Notamacropus eugenii: one gene and its partners. The protein of the gene in region 4 purifies or fractionates together with the protein of the main gene of each other region. This does not show direct contact. Links are inferred from orthologs where the notes say so. Each region holds a gene or a part of one and is shown on either strand. Other genes may lie near its edges. The genes, in order: ANGEL1, HHEX, eukaryotic translation initiation factor 3 subunit F-like and EIF4E.

Region 1 (7,889 bases), about 76 Mb from region 4:
GCCCAGGAATCCAAGCCCATACCAACATAGGAAAAGGATCATTTGGAATCAGTCCAGAAACTGGGGGTATACAAATTATGTTCAGACAGAATTCTGGTTTCACTGGCCTGGTCTTCTATTCTACAGTCACTTAACAATCACCTGCCTCAGTTTCTTCATCGGTAAAATGAAACAATAATAGTACCTAACTTCCATTCTTCATCTGTAAAATGGAGCGATAATAGTACCTAATTTTCAGGGTTGTTGTGAGGATAAGATGAGATATTTGTAAAGTGCTTTTGCAAATCTTAAAGGTTATTTAAATACTAGTTGTTGCTGTTATTCCATATTCCACCTCCTTCTGGATGCTTCCTTAATCCTATTGCTTTTCTATCCCCACTCCCACAATATTTGGATTTTTTCTGCAACCTTCCAGATTTGAAACTTGTAGTTTTCTAGCTGATGGGTGCCTCTCTGCCAAGGCAGTTCCACCAAAAGTTTGGAAGCCAACCAGACACAAGGAAGGGTCAAATAGGACCCCTTCCATCCCTACAAAATGCCTATGCAGCTCTGATTTGGGAGCTGCTGTGACAAGATCCTACCCCTAGATGGGTGAGCTGTCTTGAGGCAGCAGAGACTCAAGAATCCTAGACTACTGTATTCTACCAAGACCTGAAAACTATCGGGCTAGAGGTTTTCAAATAATATTGTTGGATATGAATCTCTTTCCTGACTCTTTCCTCTCTTGGGAGTGGGAAGTTCTGTCTCCAGCGTGGCAAAGTCAATATCCTCCTGCTTTGGAGTCCTATCCCTATTTTGGGAGTAGTAGTCCTGTCCCTAGTATGTCAGAGTTGACAGTCTCCTATTTTGGAGGTGTCAGTCATGGCCTCAGTATGAGAACTATATTGGGCTGCCCTGGTACCCTTCTATGCTTTTCCTTGCCTCTTATTTCCTCAGCTGTCTCCAGTTAAGCTGTATGGTCTTCTTTCCTTAAACACCTCAAAAAAAAAAAAAGACACTCATCTAAGATTTCAAAGCCTCTCATCAATGGACTCTGGTAGGTAGATATATGGAAACTCATATGGACATATGGAAAACTGGTATATTAAAAGGAAAGACCAGAAAGATTATCTGAGGGTATACCAAAGCTCTCAGAGTGAAAAGAGCACTGAAAAAGTTGCTGAAATTCTCCTCCCATACCTCTCCCTACTTACAAGTTCACAGAAACATCTTGATGTTCAAAAATATTAAAAACATACATTCAGATAGTAGACAGCTCCTGGATCAGAACCCACTTCTTCTCTCTCTGCTCCTATGTAAGCACTGGGTGTGGAATTCCATGGTTCTGTAACTATTTGTTGGGGAAAATATGGTGGAAAGAGGCTTAGACCTAGAAATCAAGATGGCACTATCCAAATTAAGAAAATGATTTAAGAATTCCTCTCTTTGAAAACTCTTCCTTCAGGCTGCCTACTCCACAAGGTAGGCAAAGCTGTCACAGCAAAAACTAACCCTTAGTTCTACAAGTCCTACCATAGAAAGGCCTTAGCACAATCTCAGTCATTGTGACAGTGAAACAATCATTAATTGATTCCAAAGTCAAAGGATTCTGATTCAAATCCTGCTTCTATTTTATTTTTATTTATTTTTAATTTCATTTCATTTTATTTATATGTGATCTTGTGCTTGACCACACTTTCTTCATCTATAAAATGAGAGGGTTGGACTGAGATTTCTAAGATCTTTTCTATTCTTCATCTATAAACTCGTTCATTCTACAGATGAAAAAAGTGAGGACAAGAGCATTAAGCAATTTTTTTCTGATGTCACACAGGTTGTATCATGACTAGGATTTGAAGCCAAATCCTATATTCTTGTAACTACAACACACTATGTTCTTTGATTTTCCCCAGGATCACTTTGGATTAAAATTTTTAAGTAGTGGCTCCCCAGTGTCTGTGATCAGGAATCATTAACAAGATTCCACATTCATTCTCTCCACCCCCACCCCAGACTCTTGTTTATTTTGAATAATAAATGTTATCTTCCCTCTGTCCCCAAAGCCAAGCTGTCCTTACCTCTCCAGTTCTTTCTGTCCTCTGTCCTCTTTCCCTTTTTTCCCCTGCAAAGAGATGCCAAATGCCCTTTAGAATCTCTTCTCTCAAGTTTCTGCAGCAATATCTTTGTCTAGGGACCATATAGTGACCCCAAGTGAGTTCCAACCCTTGCTCTTTTCAAGGAATGTTAGATATAGAGGTAAGGTGGTAAGGTGTGTGTTGCCCATGTATATCTATGTGGGATGTCTAAATATATAAACAAGTGGCCTGAGGGGTTGGCAAGCATAAATATCTAGGAAATCTTGCCCAACCCTCTCCAAGAAAGACTATGATTCTTGTCTTGAGGGGAGTAAAAGAGATGAAAAGGCTGGTTCTCCTCTAAGAAAGATGCTTGCCTTGCCATACTAGAACAATATTCAACTGCTTCCCTAAAAATTGCTACTCTAAAGACACTATTTTAAGTTCAAGATACTTTTGTGGCCACTATACCATAAAGGGAGAGAGTAGCCCAAATTTATACTCACTGGCTTGGCTCTTTCTCACCAAAGACTAGTTATAAAAAAAGGCTATCACAAATAGCTAATAGTGGGTTAACCCATTTACCAAAGCAGATAAACAGAAATTGAAGAAATGCTGCAGATTAGAATATACCAGAAAAGATATGAGTTAATGAGTTCTGTAGATGAGAGCAAGAGGAGCTCTCACTCAGCCAAGAGAGACTTCAATCTCACCAAAAGAGAAATTCCCAAGGTCTCTAGGGAGGCAGGCTGGAAATCAGGGACATGTCAAGGCATCAACATCCCTTACATGTTTGCCACTTCCAAAGACTTTTTTTTCTTTTTCCTCACTGGAGTCAGTCCTGAAGGAAATCTGGAATCATGTGTGTCCTTTCAAAAGAAGAATAAAGAATGTCTCTCTCCTCCAGAGTTCTCCCACCAACTCCACCCTCACACAGACTTGATGCATTGAGTCATCCTCATTCTCACCACCAATTAAGAAAGACTTAGGCAAAGTATTCCAGGCTTGAAAGCCAGATTACATAGATGGTTTTATTTATCTTGGTGGGGGGAGAGAGGGAGAAATTTCATCTAAGTTCATGTAACAAGTTGTGGGCTAGTCAATACGATACACTGAAGCAGTGGGCAACTTCCAAGGACAAGACTTAAAACTGGGGCCAGGGTGGATGGGAGAACCTTGCAAGAACCTTGAGAAGAAAGCAATAGGCTACTTTGTGTCTGTGTATCTCACTCCCTCCACAACTCAGCCCATGAAAGAATCAAGCAGACTTTTTCATAACATTTGCTGTTGTTAATTTCATACCCTCCCCCAACAAACACACACACACTATGCATTGTACTAACCCACAAAGAGCACATCAGAGTGACATGAAGGAAAAAGGAATGGATTTGGAGTCAAAGTCTGTGTGAATTTCAGCAAGTCACTTCTCTGAGTCTCAGTTTCTTTTCAATAAAATGAGTTAACAATTATTCTAGCAAGCTGGTCAAGCAGCCAAGGGTATGTGAATTCAAATTCTCTCTCTTCACACGTACTGGCTATATGACTCTGGGAAAAGCATTTACCCTCTCAGTAGCCAAAATATAAACTGTAGAGAAGGTGTTGACCTGAATTACTAGAATTTCCTTACCCAGGAGTTCCCTGGGCCAATGATTTAGTCCCTCTCAACTATTATTGACTTTGCAGAATTGAATGAAGATCAGGTAAGATAATCTATATAAAGTGGTCTATTGACTGAAAAGCACCATATAAATATGGTGTGCCCAATGAAAAGTCAGTCAGGCAATAGGCATCTATTAAACACTTATTATATGCCAGATGAAAGAAAGAAAGGAAGAAGAGAATGGAAGGAAAAGAAAAAAACAAAGAGGAAAGAAGTAAGGAAGAGAAAGAAAGGAAAGAGGGAAGGAGGAAAGAAGAAAGGAGAGAGAAAGAAGGAAGAAAGAAAGGAGATAAGGAAGGAGAGAGGAAGGAAGGAGAGAGAGGGGGAAGGAAGGAAGGAAAGAAGGAAGGAAGGCTCATTGAAGTATCTTTTTTTAATGGAGAGAAAAGAACAGAAGTCAGGCCAGAAAGAAAGCCAGACAATCAATACAGATCTTATAGGTGGATCTTATTACATACTTAAAAAAGAAAAGCGAGTTGTACCTAATAGAGATCTGCAATTTCATGTACAGTTTTCTTTGTTTCATGTGTTGCAATGGCCCAAATAATTTCTTATCAGGTGACCAGCCAATGGGTGATGTACCTCTCTATTATTAGTCAAGTTGATTCCTGGAAAGTGGAGTCCGTCTGTTACTGGAGTCACACTGTAAGGTTGTCCATCAAGTTTACCAGAATAGACCAGAATTTGTGTTCCACTAGTACAGCCTTCCAGAACCAAGATTGCCTCCACACCATCCAGGATGAAGCATTGGATTAGAACCTTGGAGAGGACTCTTATGGCCCAACCCTCCCCAGAAAGCAAAGGACTGGTTTTTCAATATTAACATTTTCCCCATGTTGCTATAGTACAAGGAGACATGGAACACTATTGCCTTCAAAAAGCTAAAAATGATCATGGCCCAGAGGACAAGGGAGAAGCACATGATGAATATGATCAGGTTGTAACAGAAATCTAGTGAGGAACTCAGGAGAGAAAGAGAGACAGAGACAGAGACAGAGACAGAGAGAGACAGAGACAGAGAGAGACGGAGACAGACAGAGAGAGACAGACAGAGAGACGGATAAGTAAGTTGGTGGGTAGAGTACTTATTATGCTTTTAGTATGTATAGTTGCCATTCAATTGTTTTTCAATCATGTCTGATTTTTTGAGACCCCATTTGAGATTTTCTTGGCAAAGATCCTGGAATGGTTTGCCATTTCCTTTTCTAACTCATTTTACAGATGAGGAACTGAGGCAAACAGGATTAAGTGACTTGCCCAGGGTCACACAGCTAGTGTCTGAGGCCGGATTTGAATTCAGATCTTTCTGACTCCAGGTCCAACATTCTATTCACTGCACCTCCTAGCTGCCCCCCATTATGTACTAGGACTGTACTAAGCACTTGAGACACACATATAAACAAGTAAGACAGCCTTTGTCCTCAAGACAATAACATTCTAACAAGGAGGAGGGAAGGAGAAAGCAGAAGGGGAAAGGGGGAGGGAGTGGCATTTTTTGGATCATGAAGATTCAGTCCCTAGTGAGATAAGGAAAAAGCTGATCTATCTGGGCCATGGGATCCAGAGGCAAATTCCAGGTCACCACTGGGGAGGAGATATTGATGAGCTTCAGAGGCATGGAAGGCAGTGGCTACAGACCTTACTGGTGCTAGGGCTGACATCAGTCTAGATCACATCAGAGGCATTCTATATTAATGAGTCCCATGCCCAAGAAGAATGCTCTTGCCAGTGCTGGTGGAGAGGAGGCATTCCCTCTCCTCCTCTAGCACCCCACCTCTATTCTCTTTCCCCCATGTCACCTGCTGCCCTGTTGTGGGGACGGATACCAGAGCTCAGAGCTGGGTCTGCTCTCTGCAGCAAAGTGGTTCACGAACATCTTTCTTCCTGCCTCACCCTCTTCCACCCAGCCCCTGGCTTAGGTCCCCATGACATCAACCCCTTGTGATAACTTTGGCTTCTGTTGTTTGTTTCTGGGTGAGTTTCTGGTGAGCAAGGGGGCTGGGTCTGCAAATGTACATGGGACATAAGACAGCATGGCAATAGCATAAACTGCCTCGTCAGTAAGAGGGTGGGGACCCTGTGACACCCAGCCTGGCTAGTTTGAAAACTGCTGCTTTTGCTTGCTTGAAGTCCAGACTAAGAACACAAACCCCTAAAGGGTTGGATGAGAGGCTATGAATTAAAAACGCAAGAGCTAGGAGGGATCTCAGAGTCTTAGAAATTAAGGCCCAGAGAGGTTAAGACTTGACCAAAGTCTCACGGGTAGTAAATAATAAGAGCCAAGATTCAAGATCACTTCATCAACTCCAGTTTCAGACTTCTGAAAAGGCAAAGACACCATCTGCACTTTTAAACATGTGGGATAGGAGTTTAGTGGGAACACAGATTTAGACCAGGGCAGCTAAATGCTGCAGGGTTAGAGCACTTGGAGTCAGGAGGACCTGAGTTCAAATCCGACCGCAGACACTTACTAGCTGTGTGAACCTGAGCAAGTCACTTTACCCTGTTTGCCCTCAGTCTCTTCATCTGGAAAATGAGCTGAAGAAGGAAGTGGCAACCACTCTAGTATTGTTGCCAAGAAAATCCCAAATGGGGTTACAAAGAGTCAGACACAACTGAACAACAACAGATTTAGACTATAGTGAGTTCTTGGTTCATCCTCCTTACTCTGCAGATGAGGAAACCAAAGCCAAGGAAGAACTGACTTGCCCAAGGTCATAGATGTTATGAAGAAATAGAGCTAACTAGGGTCCTTAGCACCAAACCCAGGGCTTTTCCCACTATACTCCATCACTTGCTTCCCATTAGTCAAATCAACTCAATAACATTTAAGCACCTTTAAGCCAAGCATTATGCTAAGCAGTGGGGATACAAATGAAAGCAAAAAATAAGAATAAAAAACAGTCCCTATTCTCAAGGAACTCGCAGTCTAGCTGGGGGAGACAACGTGCAAACAACCATGTGCCAACAAAATATACACAGAGGTAATCATCACAGGGAAGGCAAAAAGATAAAGGAGGACTGGGAAAATCTTCTTGCATTATCCATGAAAATTCTCCCCACCAGCTTTGGGGATGTTAAATTATCACTGGAGGCTGGAGCTGACCCAAGACATCAGAGATCAGTTAATTCAATTCTTCACTTTAAAGTTGGGGAAACTGAGGCCCAGAAATGTTCATTGCCTTGCCCAACATCACACAGGTCACTTCATTGTGATCCAGCATTTGGCACAGAGTAAGTGCTTGAGAAATAATTTTTCATTCATCACTCTATTAGGTGCTAGGAGAGACCCAGTCATAACAGTGTAGATTTGGAGCTGCAAGGAAAACTTGAAGATCATTAACCTCAACCCCTCTCATCTGGTAGGAGACAGAAGTTAAGTGACTTACCCAGGGTCAAACAGCTAGTGAGTATCTGAGGGAGGATTTGAACCTACATCTTCTTACCTCAAAGTCTAGAACTCTACTACACCATGTTACCCCTTTGATTCCTTCAAGGAACATATTATCTAGCAGAGATACCCCAAGATATTTCCAAGTTTTTAAAGTGCTTGCCAAGCTGATGCAATGAGTACACATGGCTCTCTTCAGGAATTCAGTTCTTCAGGGATCTGGTTCTATTGGTATGGGCACTCCTATCAATACAAATCATAATTTCAATTATGCCTTAGCAGAGAGTCTGAATGAGTTTCCATTACAGAAAATGGAACCTGGGTAGGAGTTACTCTGAATTTGGCTACACTAAAGAACTGCTGAGGCAGCAAGGTGATGCAAAGGAGAGAAAACTGGGCCTAGAGTTAAGGAGTCCTGAGTTCAAATATGGCCTTAAATACTTATTAGCTGTGTGATCCTGGGAAAGTCATTTAACCTCTGCCTCAGTTTTCTAATCTGTAAATGGGAATAATAATAGTATCTGTCTCCCAGGGTTATTGTGAAGATGAAATGAAGTCTGGGGATGCTATCTCCCAAATTCAAGAGTTCCAGCATTCAATTTTTCAGGTACAAAGGGGAAATTTCTTTGGCTTGATTAAGCGTATTTATTACAAGGGTTTTCTTTTCTTTTTTTTAATTTAAATGGGAAGAAGAGATTTTTCAACAGGATTACAAGAAGCTATTGATACACTTTTTGTTTTTTGGTTTTTTTGGTAAATTGTATTTTATTTCCCCAATTACACA
Region 2 (7,645 bases), on a different chromosome or scaffold from region 4:
AGGAATGACAAATTATTCAGATTTTTAACTGCAACTTAATGTCATTCTTGACCATATACACAGATGTTTAATCATAGCTCATACTTATATAGAAATTTTATATCTGTTATCCAAGTCTTGGAGTCAAAAAAGTAGGATTGGGGTCCTGACAATGTCACTTACTAACTAGTGTTAGTAACTAACCTGATTTCTTTTTAAGTTCCAAATAAAATCCCATCTTCTGTAGGAAATCTTTCCCTGTCACTTAATTCTAGTGCCTTCTCTCTTTTAATTATTTCCTAGGTATCCTGTCTATATCTTGTTTGTATATATTTGTTTGCTTGTTGTCCCCCCCATTAAATCGTGGGTAGGGACTATCTTTTGCTTCTCTTTTGTATCCTTAGCAATTAGCTCGGTGCCTAACGCATAGTAGGTGCTTAGTAAATGTTAACTGACTGGCTGGCTATATAATCCTTGTTAGGCAATTCACCAGAACTCAATTACAAAAGCACTGCACTTCCCTCCAAGCCTCAGTTTCCTCATCTGTAAAGAGAGAATGTATTTGCAGAACCTACTTCCAAAGATATTTTGAGGAACGAGATTGTATAAGTATGAGATGTTATTCTTACTCCTCCTCGCCACCTCCCCTCCACACCACCATTCATCTGCCAAAGACCCCCTGACTGGGTGGAGTTCAAATACACTGGTAGGATTGAATGTCACACCAAAAAACCACAGAAGTGGCCCCTTACACTATTTCTCTATTAGCCTACGTGGAGCTAACGAAAGCTTTCGTGGGGAAGGAAGCAAGCTGCTCCTGTTAAGGTCCCTCTGCGATTCAGATTTGGCTCGCCTACGTTCCAGGGTGCACCAAGAATTTTCAATCTTCTTTAAGTGTGATTCTTCTGGCTCCTCTGATTTCACACCAGGCTCTCTGAGGAGGCCAGTTAAAGCCACCCCTAGGGCTATGGCAACATTTCCGTCAATGTGTTTCCTGTTGGTCTATCTCGAAAAACCCCATGCTTCCTTCTGCTCTTTCACAGTCGTAACCCAAGGAAACTCACTGTGCATTCTCTGTGCAAACGTCCTCCCCGAGTGCCAACCTCAGAGATCCTAGGGAGGCAGGTCCAGCGAGGCTGGAAACACAACAACCTAACTAGCCTAACCTGCTCTAACCCAGAACCTTTCGCTGCAGCGCCTGAAATGGGAAGGAGTGGGTGGGGGTCGTTTGAGGCAGCTATTTGTGAATCCACTCCTTTAATCTTCCTTTTACTGGGAAGGACTTCGACATCACTACTCGGTTTAGGAAAAGTGAGTCTGTTTCTCCCCGCGGCCCGATTCTGCGTTTTAACAACGCATCCATGAAAATTTACACAGACCGGGGCAAAACTGCGGCAAGTTTCCTGGGACTAGAGCCTGAGTTAGGACTCAGTTGCAATCACTGCCCAACTGGCCAGCAAAGGGCACGGGCCAACAACCAGGCCAAATCAAATGTAGCTTTCTTGGGCGTGCAGGCTCCTGGGCGCCGGCCCCGCTCAGGTCCAGGGACTCTTGCGTTCTTTGGTCTGTCCGTCCCGTCGGTCTGCGTCTGAAACCTTTGAAATTCTAGTATTGTTTTTCGAGATTTTGCTTGCGTCAGCCTACAGACTGGTGCAAAACAGCCTCAAAAAAAAAAAAAATAGGAAGCAACTGGTTATTTTAGCTGCCATAAAGTCACATCCCACACAGAGGAAATGAACAATATCAGAAAAACGGATCCCGGCTATCAGAAGTCGAGTGTTTCCTGAATTTGTCTGTATTGAGGATGTCGATAAAATAATCAGCAGCGTGCACGACTCCCGGGGAAGGGGCTGCTCCACGCAGCCAGGAAAACACTTAACAGCTTCTGAAACCAGATTTACTCCTATCGAGAACTCAAGATTTCCTGTATGAACGGAAAGGGTCAGGCTCTTTTCGCTGCACAAACTTGTTGAACCAAGTCCAGCCTTGTAAGCACCAAGGCTGCTTGAGGCTATCAGTGCCACAAAGGGATCGGGGCTCCCCTGAACCCATTTAATGATGTGCACCCCTTTCGTTCTCCCTGAGCCTTCTTCACAAACCGGCCCTGCCGCCTCCCTAAACCGCTTCCCCCATGGAGACTGACTCTTCAACGAATGCGAGACAATGTTAATCTCTCGGCACCGAAAGCGCACAGCTTCGTCCAAGTCCAGTGGCTACCCCGAGGAGCCCCTGTGGGCACCCAGTCTGGTTCTGACCACATACTGCCACAAAGCTATTTATCCTGGGGTCAGTGGGGGAGATGCAGGAAAACCAATCTGAGTCACCAGTGTGATCAGAGTCCCGACTGAGAACTAGCAAGACAAGAGGGAGGGTAGTCCAAGCCGGGCCAGCCCCTGCTCCCTTTTCTGGGCCGCGCATTCTGAGGCCAAGGCCGGCGTTTTCTATGGCTTTTTCTATGACTTTCAATTGCTGGCTCCTGCCCGCCCACGCCCTCGCCAAGGACCAGCGCCAACGCCCCAGAGCTGCCGCCAGCGAGTGACACACTCCCCCCCACGCTGCCCTCGGCCACCTTACCCAGGGGGTCGTGCCGGAGCAGGGCGTGCGTGTAGTCGTTCACCGTCCGGGGAAAGGGGTAGAGAGGGCCCGCGAAGGTGCCCGCCCCGTAAGTGGCGGCCAGCGCGGCCGGGTGGTGGGAGAAGGCGGGGTGGATCGGCGTGGGCTCGTAGATTGGAGTCCGGTAGGAGGACACGAGGCTGGTGAAAGAGGAGTTGGGGGAAGGCAGGGTGGGAGTGGGGGTTGGGGTGGGAGCAGCGGGCGTCATCGGGGGCCCGGCTCCCCTACCCAAGATGTCCTCGATGTAGAAGGGCGTCGGGTGCACGGGCTGCAGCAGCGGGGTCGGCGCGTACAGGGGGACCCCCACGGTGGCCCCAGGCCCGGGGTGCGGGTACTGCATGGCTGCCGCTTGACTGACTGGCAGCCCCTCTGTAAGCAGCCCTCCCGCCTCCCGGCGCTACATTTATCCGGGCTTCGCGCTCCCGGCGATAGGCTCGTCCGGCTTCGGGGTGGGGCCGCCTAGTCCCTGTCCCCTTCCTGCCGCAGGGCCCGATGGCCAATGGGGCTGGGCCCCGAGAGTCGCCTCCCGCCCCTGCCCCTGGACCGCCTTCTCCCGCCCCCGCTCCCTCCCGCGGCTCTCCGCCCCCCGGAGCCGAGGGGTGACCCGGCCTTGGTCCCCAGCTCCTGGCCGCTCCGGGCCTCCAGTCCAGATGCGGGGCTACGTACTGTCTTCCCCGGGAGCCCAAGAAGAGGCGGCACCTAGCTCTCCCAGTCCGCATCCCGAGCCAGTGTCGTGCCCCCAGGGGAGAGCCCAGGAGAGTGAGCGGTAAAAGGGAAGGGCTGGGTGGGGAAGCGCCCAGCGGTAGCTCCCAGCCCTGCGGCCCGGGCGGACCTTTTTTACCCCGACCCGTTCAGGGCTTGGACCTGAGTAGTCCGCTGTCGATGTTTTGGGTCTGGAGCAGGAGCGGCAGTGGAAGAACATGCCTCCAGATCCTCCCAGATGTCTTGGGCCCACGCTATGGGACCTCTACTTAAGCCACCCTCCTCAGCTGAAGTTCCGGCAGCGGAGAGCTCCTGGTGGGGAAGGGACCCTGTTGGACCCCTAGTCAGGGCGGTGGTGCAGGCAACGGTTCTGGGCAGGCGAGGTTCAGGTAGCGCCTTGCCACGACTTTTCCCAATCAAAACTTGGAGGAATGGGGTGGAAGGAAGGGTGAAGGGGGAGCGGTTTAAGTGAGAACACTAAAACTGAGTCACAAACGCCTTGAATGCCTTTCAGATCCAAACCGCCTGCTACTACTATCTAATGCCATTAACAGGCTAGATTCGTGGTTCTCTATCACTTCATTGGGTCTTCAAGACGAAAGCTGGACTTTTAGCGGACTGAAAATGCTCAGTTCTTCCAAAGAGAATTTAAGATTCTCAAATTTCCTTTAAAAAGCCTTTTTTTTCCTTCTAATTATAAAGTCAACCATCTGGGTGAAGCATTGTGGCATAATTTATGAAGAGTGAGCTAGTCTGAAAAAGTGGAAGACCTTTCAGCTCCAGTCAGTTACTCTGAACTAGGCGTGGGACCCCGGGCAAATTACCAAACTCTTTCAATCCTAATTTCCTCATCCATAAAATGGGGATAATAATAGTTGTTGCAATAGCAACAACTCGAAGAGTTGTTGGGCTCTAATTAGATGGCAATACAGGCAAAGAATTTTACAAACTGAAAGCGCTCTATAAATATTAGCTGTTATTGTTATTATTAATAATAATGACGATGCAAAAAAGGAGAATGTGTTACCATACCCTTAGCTTTAAACATGGCCAAAGGATCATAAGATTTAGATCTGGAAGAGGGCATAAAGACCATCTAGTCCCTTTGGCGTCTGGTGAAACCTAAGGACTCAGAATTCTTGATGGAAGGAAATGCTAAATTTCAGTTAGAAGTTAGTGAAAACAAAGGTGTGATTTTCCCTCCATCCAACCAAGTGCATGAACTCCCTGAAAGCTATCCATTAATCCTGGACTCCAGGTCCTCATTATTCATATTTTCAAATAAATATGAGAGGAAGAGATTTCACGAAAATAGTAGAAATTATGAGATTCCAGTATTTTTAAACATTATCTAGTCCAACTACCTTACTTTACAAAGTTGGAAACTTTGGGAACGAAGTCCAGTGACTAATCCAAGATCACACAACTACCAATTAGCAGACCTAAGCTTTTGTACTCCAAATCCAGCGTTCCTTACATTTCGTTCAGCCTTCTTAGCAGGACCCCATTTTCCAATCTTTTTTTTTTTCTATTCATACAGCTCTCCGGAACTCGGTCCTCTCCCTTTCCAGATGTTTTTTATTGAAATCTCTTCCACGGAAATGCTTGGAAGGCAGTGATTAGGAAAAAAAGACTTAGGGTCCCCTTCGTCTTTAGAAGAAGGCTCTTTCCTGACCAACGCCCCTCTGCAGGGACTTGACCGGTCTTTGGCCACATTCCCGGGAGGGCTCTGGTAGCTATTCTTTGGCCTTGAAACAACGCTGCCACGCTTATCCATCCCGGGCCGTCTGGATTCTAAACTCCCCATCTGCGAAACTGACTCATTGAGAGTTTCCCTCACCTGTGGCAAGGCAGGAAAGTGGGTATCCTTCTGCCCATCCTTCTGAAACCCTCACTCCTCGGACGGAGGCGAGAATTGGAGACAGGATCAATAGATATAGATATACACACACATGTTTGTAACCAAGCTGTTTTTTAAATTATGAAACTTAAGGCAGAAACACACCTTCAAACGATAGGTGGAGGTAATTTGGGAATCAATGAGTTAAACAAAAAACCCCACCAGCCTGTTCTTCATATAGTTGTACTAGATTTTAATTCCAGCCCTTGAGAAAAATCGCTTCCTCTCTTGTGTTAGTTTCAACTCTTAGTATAAGATTTGTAGAGGTTTTTATGTTTATTTTTTGTGCTTTTTTTTGTTTGTTTTTTAACGTTGTGGAAAGAGGGAGAGCGGAACCTAGATTCTAATCTCACCTGCTACTCAGTAGCAGAGATTGCGGGAGGCTGTTTTATGTAGGACCTTAAGATTGGCAAAATGAATTACGTATTTTTTCACTTGTTCCTCAGCTCTTTCGTGAGATAACTACCACTGATATCGTACCCATTTTACAGATGAGGCACACAATTTCAGGTAAACCATTTCACCTCAGTTTCCTCATCTGTAAAATAATGTGGTTGGACCAGATGATCTCTAATATCGTTGCTAGATCTCAAGTTAATGTTCCTCATTTTGCCATGTATTTAATAGTAGCCGTGGTCTTATCTGGCAAACAAGGGCAATATTTTTATTAAAAACCTCCCCCAGGAGATTTGGAGGGGAAAGTGAAGCTGGGAAGCACTCCTAGACAGACTGGTGGACTGCAACACAGGATGGAGTTAGAAGAGACCTTAGGCTCAAATTCTGCCTCTGGTTCTTGCTACTTATGTGACCATAAGTGAGATGGGACAACAGTAAGGCTTGTAGTTCTGACCTACCACGGAGGCTGTTCAAGGTCTTTTTTTTCCTCTCAAGGCTCATCATAGATGACACCTTTTTTCCCCCATACTCTACTGATCATCCCTCCCACCACCAAAGTGTTATCCTCTCAGATTTTCCTGGAGGTCTCTATCTAAATCTCTTTCCCTCATTCCTTCTCCCTCTCCCTTTTTGCCTCTTTCTCTCTCTCTCTCTCTCTCTCTCTCTCTCTCTCTCTCTTTCTCCCCATTTTACCTTGTATAATTTATGTCTATTGTATCATTTAAGGCAGAGACCAGCCATCTTCTTCCATGCTGGTGTGTCTCACTTTACTACAATGTTGCATACGTGGGAGAGACAACATATGCTAAACTAAATCCTGGGCATTCTCCTGAGGATCAAGATAGATATCAAGAAGATAAAGTATTTTGTAAAGTATTTCAAAGTACTCAAATTATACACACACATATACACATGTATGTGAGCATATATACACATATATGTGCACATATGCACAATATATGCATACACATATATACATATATATTTATATTTCCTTTCTTATTAGCCTGTTTACAGTAACTTGATGACCACCCCCTTTGTTCTCCTCCATAGGAACTGGGTAAACACTATAGTCACTCAATAAATTGGTCCACTGAATAGAGTTTATGACATAAATTCACCCTACTCTGCCTCCCACCCCTAATCCTTGAAACACACATACACATACTCTTTACTCTAAGGTGACACAACCCATCATGGGAAATTATCTGAAATGAAATTAATGTTCAGAAAATATATGGATTGAAAGACTGGGAAAATAGAGACCAACATAGAGGAGAGAGACTTTTTTTTTGCCTTTTCGTTTAGTAATTGATTCTAGTTGGAAGTGAGAGGCTTAGTGGCCAGGCTTTGGCATTCCACCACAACTGCATACTCTTGATGGGGACATTGAAACACTTAATTCTCCTAAGTTATATAACACCACTTCTTTCAAATTCAATTGTTAGACCTGGGTCCACTTTGCTAAAGCTTGAACACTATTACACCCACATTCATGAATGTCACATTTATTGAACAACATAATTTTTTAATATCACTAGTGTAGGTTTTATAGTTTATTTTATTGTTTTAAAAGTCATTCGGGGCTTTAAAAAAAAACCCGGGTTTTTTCAACAGGGTCCTTATGATTTTTTTCACACAGTCAGAACTAATAAAAACAGAACTGTTGTGGCTATTTAATACAAAAGGTCTTGGAGTTTCAATATTTCTTCTCTGCTGGATACTAAAACCAATAAAAACTACATGAGATTTTAATTATATTCTGAATTAAACAAGATGCTTTTCCAAAATTTTGGCAGCATTTATTTTCATCACTCCTGTTGTGCAAAAGGCTAAACTATATAGTAAGGTGGTTCTTGCCTATGATTTCTTCCACTGGGGACTAAGATAAATTTGGGAATTTGGTCTATTTCTGATGATGAAAAAACTCATGCATGTGGGATTCAGGATTAGCAGTTGCCTGAAAATAATAATAGCTATAAAATGGGGATAATCATAGCACCTACTTCCCAGGGTTATTGTGAGGATCAAATGAGATAATATTTGTAAAGTGCC
Region 3 (8,007 bases), on a different chromosome or scaffold from region 4:
ATATTTCTAATATGGTAAATAGCAATGGATATAACCCCCCAAACTAAGAGCTCACTCCCTTCTTTTCCTTGTACAGGAAGCTCCTGAGGAAGACAGCCCCTACACCAATACACATCAGCAACTGCTCTGCTGTTAAGAAGTTAATTGACTTACAGAAACACAGAAAAAGTCTGTGTCAAATTTAAGACTTGAACCCAGGTTTTCCTGACTCCAATAAAAAGAAAAATCCTGAAAGGCCAGGGGAAGAAAATGGAAGATGATATGCACCAGGAAATGATCTCATTCTAAACAGCCCCAGGAACAAACACAAAATCTTGTAGTGTTCCAGCATCTTGGCTAAAAAACCACAGGCAAACTAGAATAATCCCACGGATATCATGTCCTTAAATGTGGAAGTTTCTGAGGTCTCTGTCTTTAGCTTTCTTCTCCCTAAACTCTTTCTCTTAGGACCTCATTAGCTCCCACAAAATTAGTTTAATTATCACCACCACTCCAATTTCCTGAGATTCAGTCTTCCACCAACTATTGTTTACTGGACATACCTAACTCAGTGAATGAGTAAATGAAGCATTTCTTAGGTACTTATTTTACATTTATTCCATGTACACTTCCTACGATGGAACATAACCTTCATGAGAAATAATTTTTCATTCTTTCTATATCCTGAACACATAGCACAGTGACCAGCATACAGCAGATGCTTAATAAATATTTGTTGGTAGACTGATCTTTTAAAGAACTTGCTCCTAATTTTAACGTTGCTCCATAGAGCCAGGCCTGGGACGTCAAAGGAAAATAGCTGTCTCAAAAGCAGCATGCTTATTATTACCAAAGTTTCACCAACCAGTACTGACGGACTTTCTATCTTGCCTTGCCCTGCCCCAATTTGGAGCTTGACTTACCAGCCCAGGATAAGCTCACTTGGAGAGACTTTCTTGTGCAATTCATACATATTTTTAGCAAATTCCATGTCCACAGCAACCTATACAAGAGAACACGAAATTCATGGTTAAAAACCAAGCAACTGATCCCCCCAGTGATGAAACTTGGGAGACAGTGGAATAAAGAAAAGGACACTTAAAGAAGCAGTCTCTATCCTATAAGTGATAATATCAGACTCCCAATACAAAAGCAGTACAACTGACTGGTTTTAGAAGCTCTAACCTTGTGTTCTGCTGCAGGGCAAGTAAAAGTGGTTCCTGTGGGAGCTCTGGTCACAGACTAGCTGATGGGAAGCAGGAGAACTCCCAATTATGGTCCATGCCCAAACTCACCTCATCCTCAGACTCATTATGTGGCACGGAAAAGCAGTTGGTGACTTCTACTGAGTGTTTGTCAATTGTTCCTATGAGAAAAAGAAAATGAGGAATGTCAACACAAGTGTTCCCTAAACTTATGATGCCAATACCTGCACCTCCATGTCCCCTGGGGCTGTGGATCAATGGCGCACCTGCTGCCTGCCAGGCCTGCGCTAAGGATCAAGAGGGTAAAGGATTCTAAGACAAAATCCTGGCCCCAGGAAGCTCATGGTCTATATGAAAAGCCAAGAATAAGAACAGCTAGCGTTTACATGGCACTTTAAGGTCTGTTAGGTGCTTTACTAAGCCACCTCACTTTATAATCATAACTGTGTGAAAAGGGGCTATTACCACCCCAAATTATAGATGAGGAAACTGAGAAAGGCTAATCAACTGCCTACAGTAACAACAAAGAAGGACCTGGGGCAGGCTTCCAGCCACTGTGTAAAAAGAACGGCCAGTTATTCAAAATGAAGGTACTTAAATTCCTGCAGAACCATGTATGCCCTACTGGTGGGTGCAGGGTAGCGAGCAAGCCTGTGATGTTCCGGTTCTCCTTCAGATCTTTTTGGATCTCGCCTCCACCGCTTAATGCAGCAGTCTTGGCTGTGCATCCCTATCAGTAAAACACTTCAGAGGGCACTTCCCAGCGTGTGCGGATTTACCTACACGTAATTTGCACAGACTACTGCGCTAATACCCACGTACGTCACAACACAGCCATGAGTGCTTTGGCAGGAGCGTGGCACGGGCGGAATCACGCTTTAGTAAGTTCGCCCTGGCAGCCTCCCGTGGGACGGCTCACGACGGCCAGTCAGGAAGCTGCCAAAGCTAGTGCCAGGCTGGAAAGATGCGGAAACAAAACGACAAGACTGGCACCTAACCGGGCACGGGGATAGCCTGAAGAGGGCCCTGAGATGCCCATCTCCGAGACAGGAAAGAGAGCGGTGCCCGGACGGGATCCATGCCTCCCCTTCCACTACCACCGGCTCGAGCCTGCCCCCCGGCAGCGGCCGCGACGGTCGTGGGGTGATGTGGGATGTCCCCGCTGGTCCGAACCCGCGTGACGCCCCCTCCCCTCATCTCCCCACCGGTCCGGACCCGGGGACTCTCAGAGAGCTTCACTCGGCTAAGCCGTCCTCCGTCAATTCGGCCAGAAGCTCGGGGCCCGGCAAAGGCACCGGCACGCGGCTGGACGCTGCCCGGCCCCGGCCCCGGCCCCCGCCCCCAAGACAAGCAGGACCAGGGACTGTCTCTACGCTTGGAACGCCCGCCCGCCCGACGCCCTGGTTTTACAGACGGAGGGACCGAGGCCCCGAGAGGCGGCCTCTCCGGGGAGGGGGCGCCGCTTACCCAGCAGAGTGCCGATGACGCGGCCTGCGCCCTCGTTGCGACGCTCGTAGCTGTCCACGATGGAAGCGAGGATGACCGGGTGCAGCCGGACCACGCGGCCGCCGGGGAACGGCCCGGGGAGCCCAGGCCCGAGGGGGGCCTGCACCGGAGCCGGGGTCGGGGCGGCCGGCGGAGGCGCCGACGCCGGAGCTTGGCCCTGGCCCTGCGGTGGGGCCGGGGCGGGGGCTGGGGAGGAGGCCGGGGCGGGATCCGGGGCGGACGCCGGGGTTGGAGTCGGGGCCGGGGTGGAAGTCGGGGAGGAACCCGAGGCGGCCGTCATAGCCGCCATGTTGCCGAAGCACGAAAGGAAGAAAGGAGAGGCGGAAGTACAGAGGGAAGGCAGGTCCAAGGAAAGGGAGCCTCGCTATAGGTCCAGCCTCAGGCACGAAACTTGCTTATTGGCTACGGATCAGTCTCGGGGAACGAAGGGACCGCCCTCTCTTGATTCGGGGCCGTGGGGCACAGGAACTTCCTGTTCTCGCCTCAGTTCCGTCGAGAATTCGCTCCCCCTCCGGACTTGTGTCTCGTACAGGAGAGTTCCGGGACACACAGGACTGGCAGTTGCTACATTGTAACTCGACAAACTTTTTTTTTCCCTTTCTTTGTAAACGAAACTCAGCAATTCAAGTGTTAAAGTCCGGTATCTGACTCTTACGTTGTATTTCTCCGGAACGTGCTTGTCCATAGAGGCTTTTGCTTCCATTCATTCCTATTGCATGCAAATCATTGTTAATATGAAATAGTACAGAATGAAGACAGTGGAGTCAAAACAATCACATGCTTTTCATGGAGACACTACCCTCCCCACTTGCTTCTTTTTAGATGGCTAGGTTGAAAAGCTGGGTATGCTTGACCCCTATAAGAATGAATTACCACTGCTGTTAAAATTCCCCCGTCTCTTGATATCACCTATCTCTTGTGCAAGAAAAGTTAGGGTAACGTTTAGGATCAGGGCTAGGGTTAGAGTGAAATTAAGGTTAGGGTGAAGTTCCTAAAGGAAATCTATTTGAAAGAATGTCTTCAGGCATCAACTATGAGTGTCCCCCCAAATAGAAATAATACAAATATAATACAGACAATATAAAAAAGTACATAAGCCAATTGATTAAATTTAAACAGGATAGATGTAGTCAGGGAAAATACTGCAGTCTGTCAGTAAGAGTTCTGGGAATATTGGGGGAAGAGGCACAGAACCTGTCACCCTGCTAGTTGGAGAAACGACAAGGATGGTCCTGTGCCAGGATCTCCCATGTCTCACAATGGATTCCAAAGTTCTTCAGAGAGACCTTGAGAGTGTCCTTGTACTGCTTCTTCTTACCTCCATGTGGGTGCTTGCCAGCTGTGAGTAAAATAGTCTTTTAGGCAAGTGTATGTTTGGCATTGCAACAATGTGGCCAGCCCCTCCGAGTTGCACTCTCTGCATTACAGTTTAAATGCTTGCCAGTTCAGCTCTAGAAGGGGCCTTAGTGTCCAATACCTTAACTTGCAGGTGATCTTCTGAATCTTCCTAAGATAATTCAAGTGGAAGCCATTCAGTTTCCAGGAATGATACTGGTAGACTGTTCAGGTTTTACAGGTGTACAACAATGATGTCAGCACAACCTCTTCTTTCCCACACTTTTCTTTGGAGACTTCCAAACACTGAGCTAGCTTTGGCAATGCTTCAATTCATCAGCTATAAGCACATTCCTGGAATTTGTTGTTGTTGTTATTCTGTCATGTTTCAGTTGGGTCTGATTCTTTATAACCTCATTTGGGGTCTTCTTGGCAAAGATACTGGAGTGATTTGCCATTTTCACTTGACAGATGAGGAAACAGAGGCAAACAGGATTAAGTGACTTTTTGAACTCATAAGATGAATCTTCCTAACTCCAAACCTGCTGCTTTATCCACTTCAAGACTTCGTTGCTCCCCTGCCCCCCAAAAGGTATACTGCTAAAGTAAGTGAGCTTATCCACAGTATTCAAATTTTCTCTATTTGCTGTAACTGATGGTTCCATGTATGAATGGCATGGTGATGGTTAGTGGAGAACCTCTGTTTTCTTAATGTTAATTATTAGATCAAAATTAGCATAAGGAGGGAATTGCTCCATCCTCTATTGAGTCTCAGCCTCAGAGGCATTGAGTGCACAATCATTTGTGAACAAAAAGTTACAAACCAATTCTTCCTCCACGTTAGACTTGCCTTGTAGCCTTTTTAAGTGAAATAATTTATTGGCAGTGTATAACTGACCTTGATGCTACTTTCATTCTTGTTGAAGGTGTCTGACAACACCACTGAAAACATCATACCAAAGAGTATGGGAGCCAGCATACAGATCTGACCTGTGAGAGCATGAAAGATATACATTATCCAGAACCTGTACAGACATGCCATCATGGAACTGGCATACAATCTGATGAACTCCTCTTGGCAACCAAATTTTTCCGCAGTTTTCCACAAACCCTCATGACTGTCAGTATAAAAGATCTAGGTCAGATCAACAAATGTTGTGCACAGACCTTTGTTCTCTCCTGACATTTCTTTTCCTGGAGCTGTTGGGCAGCAGATACTATATCAACCATTTCTCAGCTATTTCTGAAGCCACACTGGCTCTTGAGTAGATGACCATCTTCCAGGGGAAGGATTAGCCTATTCAATTAAGGAGGATTCTGGCAAGAATCTTGCTAGCAATGAATAAGGGAGAGAGCCCTTCACCCCACACCCCCATGATTGTCACAGGACAATCTATTTCCTTTTCAGAGAATTGAGTGTCAGGTGAACACCAAAGGTGGATTAGTAGCTCTGAAAAGGGCTCAGAAAGCCTCATATGGGAGATGCTAGTCTTCCCTGAACATCTGTATATCCCTGTGGCTTGATGGTTTACTTATGCCAGTGAAAAGGTTGAGGAGCATAGAAGAAGGAATGTCAGAGATGATGGGAGTGGAAGAGGGGAAAAATTCTCCCTTGCTATATGACCAGGGCCTGAGAAAGGAGGATGAGTGACAAGAATGGCAGTGGGCTCTGGTCCCTTCAGATCCAGGTAATCTAATCTGGGGTAGAGAGATCTGATAGTCATAGACCATGGAGTGTGGCACTAGCCATGAGGAGAGAACTACAAATAATCTGGTTATTCTCCTCAGAAGTGAGAGGAAAGGCACCCCAGAAAAGAGGGTGAAGAGACTCATATCACCCTCATCCTGCCCTGGGTCATCTCACCTGGGGCACATTCCCAAATAGCTCTGGTCAGATCTGAACTCTTAGTTAGAAAGGTTACCCAAAGATGATTCCCTCGTTCTGAGAAATGGGCCAAATTCCTGTGAAGATTTTCAGACATGGAGCTCTACTTCACTGAGGTGGTGTAGAAGGTGGATCAGAATTATGGAGAAATTCTGAACATCTGGGCTTTGATCACTTTTTGCCTTTAGGGTTCTACCAGAAGCATCTCCCCATAAAGGTTAATACCTTTCTCCCCCTGTAACCTCACTCCATTGAGTTCACCCCTTAATAAAGAGGAGATTGAGAAACTCAGATGGTCTGAGGGCTCGAATTTGAAGGATAAACTTTTTAGTCTGACGTTGGGAAAGACTTGAGCCTGGCATAACAAAGACTTTTCAGCATTAGGCCCAACAAGTTAATTATAAATCCATTTAAGTGTTACTCCTGCCAACAAGATGAGCCAACATCAAAGTATTTCTTTGTATTTTTATTGCCCCTCCCCCAATGGCAGTTGACAAATTCTGTGTGTAAAATATCTTTCCTCTAGTTACATTTAACCAAATGGCATTTCTTTAAGACATAGCTCTCATATTCAATAGAATTGAATGTGCTTTCAAATTCAGCCCAGCAACACTGAAATTATTAGAAACTGGGAGATAAAAACAGACATTTAAAGATTGATAAAAGTTGTTAAGAGGAGTATAAACATTCATTTCCGTTGGATTTGATTGGAAAGGACTCAAGGATGAAGGTCTAGAACAAGCTTGGAGACTCCAATTGCTTGAATGAAGTTGGTTTTTTCCTAGGACAGAGTCTGCCTAGGGAAGAGACAAAAGAATTATTATTAGGTCATCCCAACCGATGAAACTCTTAAATGTACTTTTGTAACCTGCATTTTTGTGGCCCTCAACAATGGAGGGTATATGAGAGCTGACGTGTATATACCTCTTAGCTTAGGACCATCAAGCAAAAAAAAAAAAAAAAAAAGTTATGGTTTTGAAATGAAGGTGTTAAAGCAGTGTTGGGAGGAGGGAGAAAATGAGGTAGAAAAAAAAATAGGAATCCCTCCTTCATTCCAAAGAAAGTGATGCCTCAATACACCTCAAAGAATTAGGACCATTTCAAAACAGACTCTCCAAATCGTGGCTATAGAAATTGCAGAAATGCTGAGTTTCCCCAACCTTTCCTTCTTTCCTGGAATTTAGCACCTCTTTCTCTAGAATGTTTTCTACAGTGAAGAAAAGGACAAGCACAGATTAGCAGCACCTGGTGACATCCACTCATCACTTGGCCTGAATGAGGCTCATACAACTTCTGTACTCCCCTCATTTCCTTAACTCCACAATCCCATCTGAACATTCCATTTTTCCTTCATCACTGTGACTGAGAGAGCCTTCTTCCTTTTCTCCCTCATTCGGTAGCCTTGTAACATCACACACCACCACCTCTTATTAATAACAGTAGAGGCTTGTTCAAAAATGAGGAAGGACTCTTGAAAGTCGGTCACTGAATACAGGTCATCCGCATTTTCAAAATCAGTGTTAGCCTTATGGGGCAGTGTCCTCCTAAGCTGATTATCTCCTGATTTGATAATATCTGCTAAATTGCATGGCATTAGCCATTAGGTAAGCTTCTCCACCTAGACATTTTGTCACATCAACTTCTTGGGACCTCTCTGAGGCACTCAAGGCTTTTAAGTATTTCTCTAACATAGCGTAAGGATTCCCAGAGCTTTGAGGACCAATTTTACTTACTTGGACATTTGTTCTTATGGGCCATTCTTTACATTTCTTCATTTTTGCTCTTTGATTTCTAAACCAGTTCCTAATCTGTCAAAAAATGAATGTTAAAGACAAATCACTTAACAACTTTTCCACTAATCTGTGCATACAAGGGAGTTAGCCTGATAATTCTCTCAGAGTTGTGCCTCCTATTGGCCAGATGGGGAATGTGAAAATATGGGGAAGGTAAAGGAATCATATCCTTCAAAAGAGGGGGACTACTGGGGAAGTTAGGTAGCACAGTGGAGTGCCGGGCCTGGAGTCAGAAAGACTCATCTTCCTAAGGTCAAATCTGGGTGTTTCACAGGAGGCACTGGAGAGTTTTGGGACTCTAGCC
Region 4 (7,409 bases):
GAAAAACTCTCAAGAAATGAGAAAATAAAATGTTCTCTTTTCACAAAGGAAAACTGAAAAAGAAAGTTTTACATATTCTGTGTCCAAGAGACAGGGACCTTAGCCTCAGGAGTAGCTGAATCATTAAGAATACAAAATGCTAGCTTAAGATTTAATCATGATGAATTTAAGATATCTATACAAAAGCTGTTTTCCTATAAAACATTATAATCAAGTCTGATTCAAACTACACTTCTGTTTACAGAGCTAAGAGATGCAGGTTGCATCATTACTAAACCAAACCAAGCCAAACTGAAACCAGGTGAACATACTTATTTGTAAAACTTTTTTTAAAATTACCTAGTAGTCTAGGAAAAAGAAGTTTTTGGTTTGAAATTAAGTTCAAAGAACAAGAATGAGAATAAAGCAACCTACATTTTAATTACACACTTTACTGAGTCATTAGATAAAACTTGAAATTGTTCTCAAATTGTTCTCAAATATTTAGATATTAATAAGTTTGTTTCAGAGTTAAAAACACTATATCCAACACATTGGTATTTTGTAAATCCTAAACCAAAAGGTTACATATTTTTTGATGTATCTATTTCCACAAGATCAAATGTTACAAAAGCAGTATCAAAACTCAAATGATTCCAGATACATAGCAGCTTTCTAAATACCTACTTGAAAAAAGGACAGGTAAAAAGAAATCATGGTAGTAAATGCTCATTGTAAGACTCCCAAGCCACCTGAATCAACATGCTAGTTTTTCAAATTATAGGCTGGTATCTGGTAGAATGCAATCCAGAACTGTTTAATCTGTTGTCTGAGTTAGTACTGGCTATGTGGTAATCAAAGCAATACTGTATAGTTTTGAAAATCCCCAAATATTAAGAATTCTTTGTGGAACTACACTACTGTTTTAAAAGTTATTTTACTTTACTCCTACTACTACTAACTTGGTTCCAGGGGTAAACTTGTATAGTGAACGCTACACAAGGTTCAATTTGACATAGACTTAAAGACCTGCAAATATTTTAAAAGTTAATGCTTTGTTCGTATGTAAAATTAAATATCCTGCCCTCTTTTTGTAGCAGAACCTTAAGAGTTCTAAAGCTAACAAATTTATTCCCCAACATTTGTACAAACCCTTTATCAACCCTTTATCAAAAAAATCAATGTAAGTGCAGAAGTAATTTAAAAAACCTACTTTGTGCAAGTCTGGGGGAATCATTCCGTAAGAAGGCCCAGAACAAAGTAATAAGGTATACTAGGAAAAGCATTGAATTTGGAGTTGATGAAGATTTTGGCTCAAATACTTAATAGGTCATAGTTTTTAACATCTCTGGACCTCATATATAAAACGAGCTCTATTTAAATCACATATATGTGTGTATAAAAAAGCAACTTTAATGAGACTACACAGGTCGGGTAAGTTTTTCAATCACCGGAAAAAAAAAACCAGAAGGCTGAATGATCAAAGTACTTTTCACAACTGTAACTACTTTTCTAAGGACATAACAAGCACGGCAGAAATGTATGGTCCCTATGAACACAACTAGGGGTGGGGAACTAAGGAAAGAATTCCTCAATGAAATGGAGAGAACTGCTAACTGTAAAAGGAAAAAGTTCTGAAGGAATTATTAAGATTTCAAGTCATTTGCTATGAAACTGTTCATTCAGTTCAAGTGTCATCGAGGTGCTTCGGAGTCTGGGTGTTTTATAGATTTAAAACTGCCACGTAGGGGCTTTGGAGGCCTCGGCCAGAAGGGCAGATGGTAAGCCCCACCAAGGGACACATGTTCCAGCCCCCTTTGGGGAGTGCAGGGCACTGCCTACCCTAGGTCTGTCTGCTTCTCCCGGTCTAAGCTGCGGCTGTCTGGACCCGACCGGGAGGGAAGAGAGACCGGCGAGAAATAAAAGCCCCAGTTCGTCACAAGTTCCGCCCAACGGGGTCAATTTACCAATCCATCTGGCCTCGGAGGGATCGAAGACTCGGGCCTCTTCCCACTGTCCAAGGCATGCGCAATGCGCACACCGGGGGCAAGGATGAATGAATGGAGGGCCGAGGGCAGTCCGAAGCCGGCCCGGCCCGGCCCCCGCCCCTCGCCATCGCTCCTCCCGCACAGTCCGGGCCGGCGCCCAGGAGGGCACGCAAGGTGCTCCCGCCCCGGCTCCCCCGGGCCGCGGTCGCGCACCGCCAGGCGGAGCCGCCCCCCGCCCTCGGCCCCCCGTGCCCCCCAACCCCGGCCGGCGGCTCGCTCGCGCGCGCTCCCCGCGCCCCGGCGGCCGGCGTGGTGCAGGCCCTCCGCGCGTGCCGCCGCCCGCCCCACCAACCCCCGACATTCACCTCGCGGACCGCCGGCGCACGTCCCCACGACGGCCGGTGGCGCCGCCGCCGACCCTCGCCGTACTCCTCGCCCCACGCGCTCGCCACCAGCCCCGACCGGAGAGCCCCGATCCCACCGCCTGCCCCCCCCCCCCCCCAGCTCGGGCCCCGGCCCCGTGTCCCGCAACTTCCCCACCCGGCCCCTAGCCCTCCTCCCTCCCTCCCTCCTCCCCCATCCGGGCACCTCGCGCTCACACCGCCGCTGGCTCCCCGCCGCCCCTCCCCCACCTCTTCTCTCGTCTCGCCTGCCCCCACTAGAATGTGTGCGCTACACGCCGCAGCCGCCTCCCCGGCGCCCCCAGTCACCGCAGTCGCCGGGAGGTCAGCGCCCGACAGAGGGGGAGGGGGCGGCGAGGAGTTTGCGTGCGCGCCGGGAGCGCAGTCCCGCGGAGTCTCCCAGGCCCCAGGGGAACCGGGCGCGGGGACCCGGTAGGGGGTGGGGGGGCCGAAGGCAACACTCACCGGTTCCACAGTCGCCATCTTAGATCGATCTGATCAGACAACCGCTCCTGAAGGGGGGGTAAGAGTAAAAAAATGAAATTCAAACCGGATTGGCCGGTCGCCCCCCACGTGACGAGCGTGTCCGTTTGGCTCGGGCAGCGCCTGCGCAAGGTGGCGGGTGCGTGGGTAACCGAGGGCTTCTGGGAAGTGGAGTCTTTTTTTCCCCCTCTCCCTCCCCTCCCCTTAAGTGAGGAGGAAGGCTGGGAAGAGGACTGATCACGTGGCTACGGAGGCGGTGCGGCGCTGAGCTGCGGGCGGGTGAGTGGGGCTAGGAAGGTGAGGCAGAGGTGGGGCTCGGTCCGGTTGCGAAAGTGAGGCTGCGGCGGGAGGGGGTCTCCTCCGTCTTGCGTTCTTCCTCCGCGTTAGAGCCGTCGGTGCGCCGCCGTCCCCCGGCTTCCCATCATCCCCGTGGGCTCAGCTCACAGGAAGAAACCTCATTGGCTGGGCGCCTCCGCAAGGCTCCCGGGGCCGCCTTCACTTGGCGTCGTTGGTTCCTCCCGCCACCCTGGTCCTCACGGCCGCCTTCATTCTCTTCTCTATTTATTAGTGAACGGAAAGGAGCAGCGGGGACGAGCGGCCGGCGGGACGGCGCGGGGCCGGGACGCGGCTAGCGCTGGCGCCTCCCGGCCATGCCTGCCCGGAGTGGGCCCTAGCAGCGGGGGCGGGAGTGGGCCTTCGGAGGCCCGGCGTTCGGTGCTCGGTGTCCAGCCGCGTCAGGCGCCTGAGGCCAGTCCCCCCCCCCGGAGCAGCACCCGGCGGCCCTGGTCACCCAGCGCCGGACTGACGGCCGGGGCTGGCGGGGCCTGGCAAACAATGAGCCCGGGCCCCCGGCCAGTGACTGCCTCGCGGGGGCCTGGGCTTTTCCCGCCTGCGGTCTCAAAGCTGCCTTACCTCACAAGGGCGCGCGGCCGCCCCGGCCTGGGGGGTGGGGTTCCCGGCCCGAGAGGGGCAGTAGCTGCGGCCTCGCCTAACCACCTCTCCGGGTGGGCCGGCTAATCATGAATCCCCCCCATAAAAAAAAAGCCCACTCCCAACCCCCTCCCAGGTAAATTCCCTCCGGCAGATGGTCAGTTTCACTGAAATTGACGGGGACTGCGTTGAAATCCGCCCCCAGCCCTGGGCGATGTGTCACCCTGGACCCCCTCCCCTCTGCTCAGTACCTAGAATGTTCCAGGTCGGTGCTATTGCACATGGTCTGTTTATTAATAAAACTGGTACAGAAAAAGAAGTCTGGTAATGCGCTACCAAGAGGGCCCTTTGAGGAACTCCCCCCCGCCACTATTTCCCATGCCTTGAAGAATGTCGTCTCAGAAAGTTACCACTATGGCATATACCTGCCTGCTGTTACTGAAGCTGATGTCCGAGGCAGTGTCATACCTATTGTTGAGTGCATAATGGAAGCTGAATTGGCTTGCACATCATTGGGGCTGCCCGTGGGCCTCAAGGTCATCATCTTTTCGTCTATAGATTGACTTTGAGTGCCCAAGGTAATGAATGTAACAGACTTTTATTTTGTATAGATGTATTAGACAAGAATTCCGACAAAATTAAAGAGGATAAAAAAGATATCTCTATAGAAAATACCATTCTTGCTTAAAATAGTCAAAAACTTTTGATTTTACTGGTATTTTCTTCTTAATAGTGGCCACCATCAGACTACCTTCTTGCAAAATTCTTAAGGCTGTTTCCATAATACCAGACTTTATTGCAGGAACCAGAGGAAAAGTGAAGCAGAAATGGAAGTCCCCTACCCATAAAATTTAAATCAGTTCACATAATAAAGTTTTTTTTTTTACAAAGACTAACCTTGTTAATCATTTCCTTCCTTGAATCCAGATCCTGTTTGCATTATGGGAAAAAAAAATTGAGTTCTTGAGAAAAAAGATCGATTTCTAATCACTCCAGCACCTTCCTGATATTTATGTATATACCAAGCATTTTACAGCTGGATTTGTTTAGTTTGAGTGTTTTCTTGGGTGTATTTTTCATCTCATCTTTCATAAATTTAAAATAATTTCAGTGGATTGTAAAGTTTGCAAAAAAACAGTTCATGCCTATTTATTTTGTTCCCCTAGTAGCATCTTCCTTATCAGTCTCTGTCAGAGTGGATATTCAAACACGTTGATTTACCAATTTTCTTTTGGTACCTCCAAACAAAAACAAGATAATACGGGTTAGGCATTCCTAGAAGCCTTGACGAAGTGCTCACAATTTGATGGACTGTATCTGCTACTGTGTTGCTCCGTAAGAGTAAAGATAATGCTTATTCTGGAGGTAGTTTCTAAAGATTTTCTAAGGGAATATCCAGCATTTCTAACTAGATCTTGCTTACTCCCTGACTGGTATTAGGTAACTAAGTCCTTTTATATAAAAGTTGTGAACAATTTCAAAAACAATAGATCAGTTGGAATATTGTGGCTGAAAGGAATCTAAGATTGTTCACTTAGATCAGTTTCTTAATTTATTTCAAACATCTTTAAATTCATCTCTAAGAGGAAGGAGTGATCCCAAAGAGTCAGCATGGCATCATCAAAAACAGGTCATGCCAGACTAACCTCATTTCCTTTTTTTGTCAGGGTTATTAAGCTGTTAAAATAGGGCAGTGCAAAAGTTTTAGCAAAGGATTTGGCATGTTGTTCTGGTGGAAAGATGGAGAGGTGTAAGCTATATGACAAAATACAGAAGAATTTATAGCTGGTTGATGGCTGAGCCCCAAGAGTCAGCATTAATGGCTTTAAGTTATTTCAGGAGGAAATCTTCAATGGTATGCCCCAGGAATTTTTAGCAGCATTTTGGATAAAGACCAGGTTGACATGTTTGTCAAATTCATAGCTGATACCAAGGTGGAGGAATACACATTGGATGACATTCAGGATTCCAAAAGACCTTGATGGGCTAGAACACTGGATTGAGACTTAATAATATGAAACAATAGGAATAAATGTAAAGTGTTACACATGTTGAAAAAGTCCCACAAATACAAGACATGGGGAAGTGTGGCCAGACAGCAATTCATGTGAAAAAGAACTAGGGAATTTATTTAACTACAGATTCAGTTAGTAGCAATTAGCAATGACATGTGGCAGCCAAGAAGCTAAATCATTCTTAAGATGCATGAAGACAGGTATGTGAGTAAGAGGGTGATTGTTTCACTGCGCTCTGCCCTGTTCAGATCACATCTGCAGGGATTGTGTTCAGTTCTGGGCATGACATTTTAGGCAGAACATAGCATAGAGTCCTACATAAAAGAACTGAGAGAGACCTTGGAGAATGCTTAGTCTAGCCCCCTTATTTTACATATGAGGAAAGTGAGGACCAGAGAAGATGTGACTTGCCCAGCTGCACAAGGGGTAGTAAGACCTAGAGCTGACAGCTGAACTCAGGACCTCTGACTGTGGCTGAAGTCTTTTTCCCCTTTCATCATTCTCCTTGAATAAATGAGGGTTCAGAGAAAGGGCAACTAAGACACTGAAAGGTTATTTGAAAAAAGGTAGGGATATCTGCTTGGAGAATAGAAGACAGGGTAAGGGCATGGCAACTACATAGAGTCCTACATAAAAGAACTGAGAGAGACCTTGGAGAATGCTTAGTCTAGCCCCCTTATTTTACATATGAGGAAAGTGAGGACCAGAGAAGATGTGACTTGCCCAGCTGCACAAGGGGTAGTAAGACCTAGAGCTGACAGCTGAACTCAGGACCTCTGACTGTGGCTGAAGTCTTTTTCCCCTTTCATCATTCTCCTTGAATAAATGAGGGTTCAGAGAAAGGGCAACTAAGACACTGAAAGGTTATTTGAAAAAAGGTAGGGATATCTGCTTGGAGAATAGAAGACAGGGTAAGGGCATGGCAACTATTGAGTATTTGAAAGGCTGTCGTGGAAAGATTAGGTTTGTTCAGAGACAGAACTAGGAGCAACCCATGAAAATTATAAAAAGACATGTTGGCTTTTGGTACAGAAAAACTTGACAATGAGAGCCAACCAGAAGTGGAATTGAGAGAAGAGCCCAGTTCCCTCCCTCCCCCATATACACACACACACACACCCCTTACCTGAAATCTTCAAACAAAAGTTGAATGATCTCTGTCAGGTATGTTGTATTGGGGATTTTTTTTTCCAGATATGGATGGGTTGGATCAGTGGTGACTGCGTTTGAAGGCCCTTCCAGTTCTGAAATTCTGTGGCTTTGAATTCAACAACTAAGTACTTACTAAAAGCAGTGCTTAAAAAAATACATTATTCTAAGCAGTGACAAGAAACAAAATATTATTTCTCATGAAGATTTTATATTCATCTGGATATATAGCCTATTTGAGAGATGTATGTTTATTGGCTCTCTAGTCCAACTCACACACAAAAGAGACCCAACGTTAAGAAAATAAGATAACCAAGTAGGGGGAGAACACTTAGCAACTAAGGGTCTCAGAAAAGGCTTTGCACATCAGTGGCCCCAGACATGAGGAAGAATGACATTCCAGACACAGAATTTGTACAAAGGCATGAGAGAAAACCTGGAATGTCAAGTTTGGAGTACATTTC

Evidence for each region.
Region 1: the proteins of EIF4E (region 4) and ANGEL1 purify together in Homo sapiens (affinity purification with mass spectrometry; 3 studies listed by BioGRID and IntAct, counting the BioPlex papers as one, with this or other methods). This does not show direct contact. The link is inferred for Notamacropus eugenii from reciprocal best matches to the Homo sapiens genes EIF4E and ANGEL1.
Region 2: the proteins of EIF4E (region 4) and HHEX purify together in Homo sapiens (affinity purification with western blotting; 3 studies listed by BioGRID and IntAct, with this or other methods). This does not show direct contact. The link is inferred for Notamacropus eugenii from reciprocal best matches to the Homo sapiens genes EIF4E and HHEX.
Region 3: the proteins of EIF4E (region 4) and eukaryotic translation initiation factor 3 subunit F-like purify together in Homo sapiens (affinity purification with mass spectrometry; 3 studies listed by BioGRID and IntAct, with this or other methods). This does not show direct contact. The link is inferred for Notamacropus eugenii from reciprocal best matches to the Homo sapiens genes EIF4E and EIF3F.

The regions. Positions count from the first base shown.
Region 1 is NC_092878.1:60,402,252-60,410,140, forward strand, and holds the start of ANGEL1 (protein angel homolog 1), read right to left. Parts: upstream 3,004-7,889; 5' UTR 2,768-3,003; intron 2,102-2,767; 5' UTR 2,058-2,101; intron 1-2,057.
Region 2 is NC_092872.1:209,358,530-209,366,174, reverse strand, and holds the start of HHEX (hematopoietically-expressed homeobox protein HHEX), read right to left. Parts: upstream 3,005-7,645; 5' UTR 2,933-3,004; coding exon 2,554-2,932; intron 1-2,553. UniProt on the Homo sapiens protein: Recognizes the DNA sequence 5'-ATTAA-3'. Transcriptional repressor. Activator of WNT-mediated transcription in conjunction with CTNNB1.
Region 3 is NC_092877.1:31,464,325-31,472,331, reverse strand, and holds the start of eukaryotic translation initiation factor 3 subunit F-like, read right to left. Parts: upstream 3,003-8,007; 5' UTR 2,980-3,002; coding exon 2,652-2,979; intron 1,346-2,651; coding exon 1,275-1,345; intron 983-1,274; coding exon 903-982; intron 1-902. UniProt on the Homo sapiens protein: Component of the eukaryotic translation initiation factor 3 (eIF-3) complex, which is required for several steps in the initiation of protein synthesis.
Region 4 is NC_092878.1:136,684,980-136,692,388, forward strand, and holds the start of EIF4E (eukaryotic translation initiation factor 4E), read right to left. Parts: upstream 3,011-7,409; 5' UTR 2,852-3,010; coding exon 2,834-2,851; intron 2,435-2,833; exon of another isoform or gene 2,333-2,434; intron 2,028-2,332; exon of another isoform or gene 1,947-2,027; intron 1-1,946. UniProt on the Homo sapiens protein: Acts in the cytoplasm to initiate and regulate protein synthesis and is required in the nucleus for export of a subset of mRNAs from the nucleus to the cytoplasm which promotes processes such as RNA capping, processing and splicing.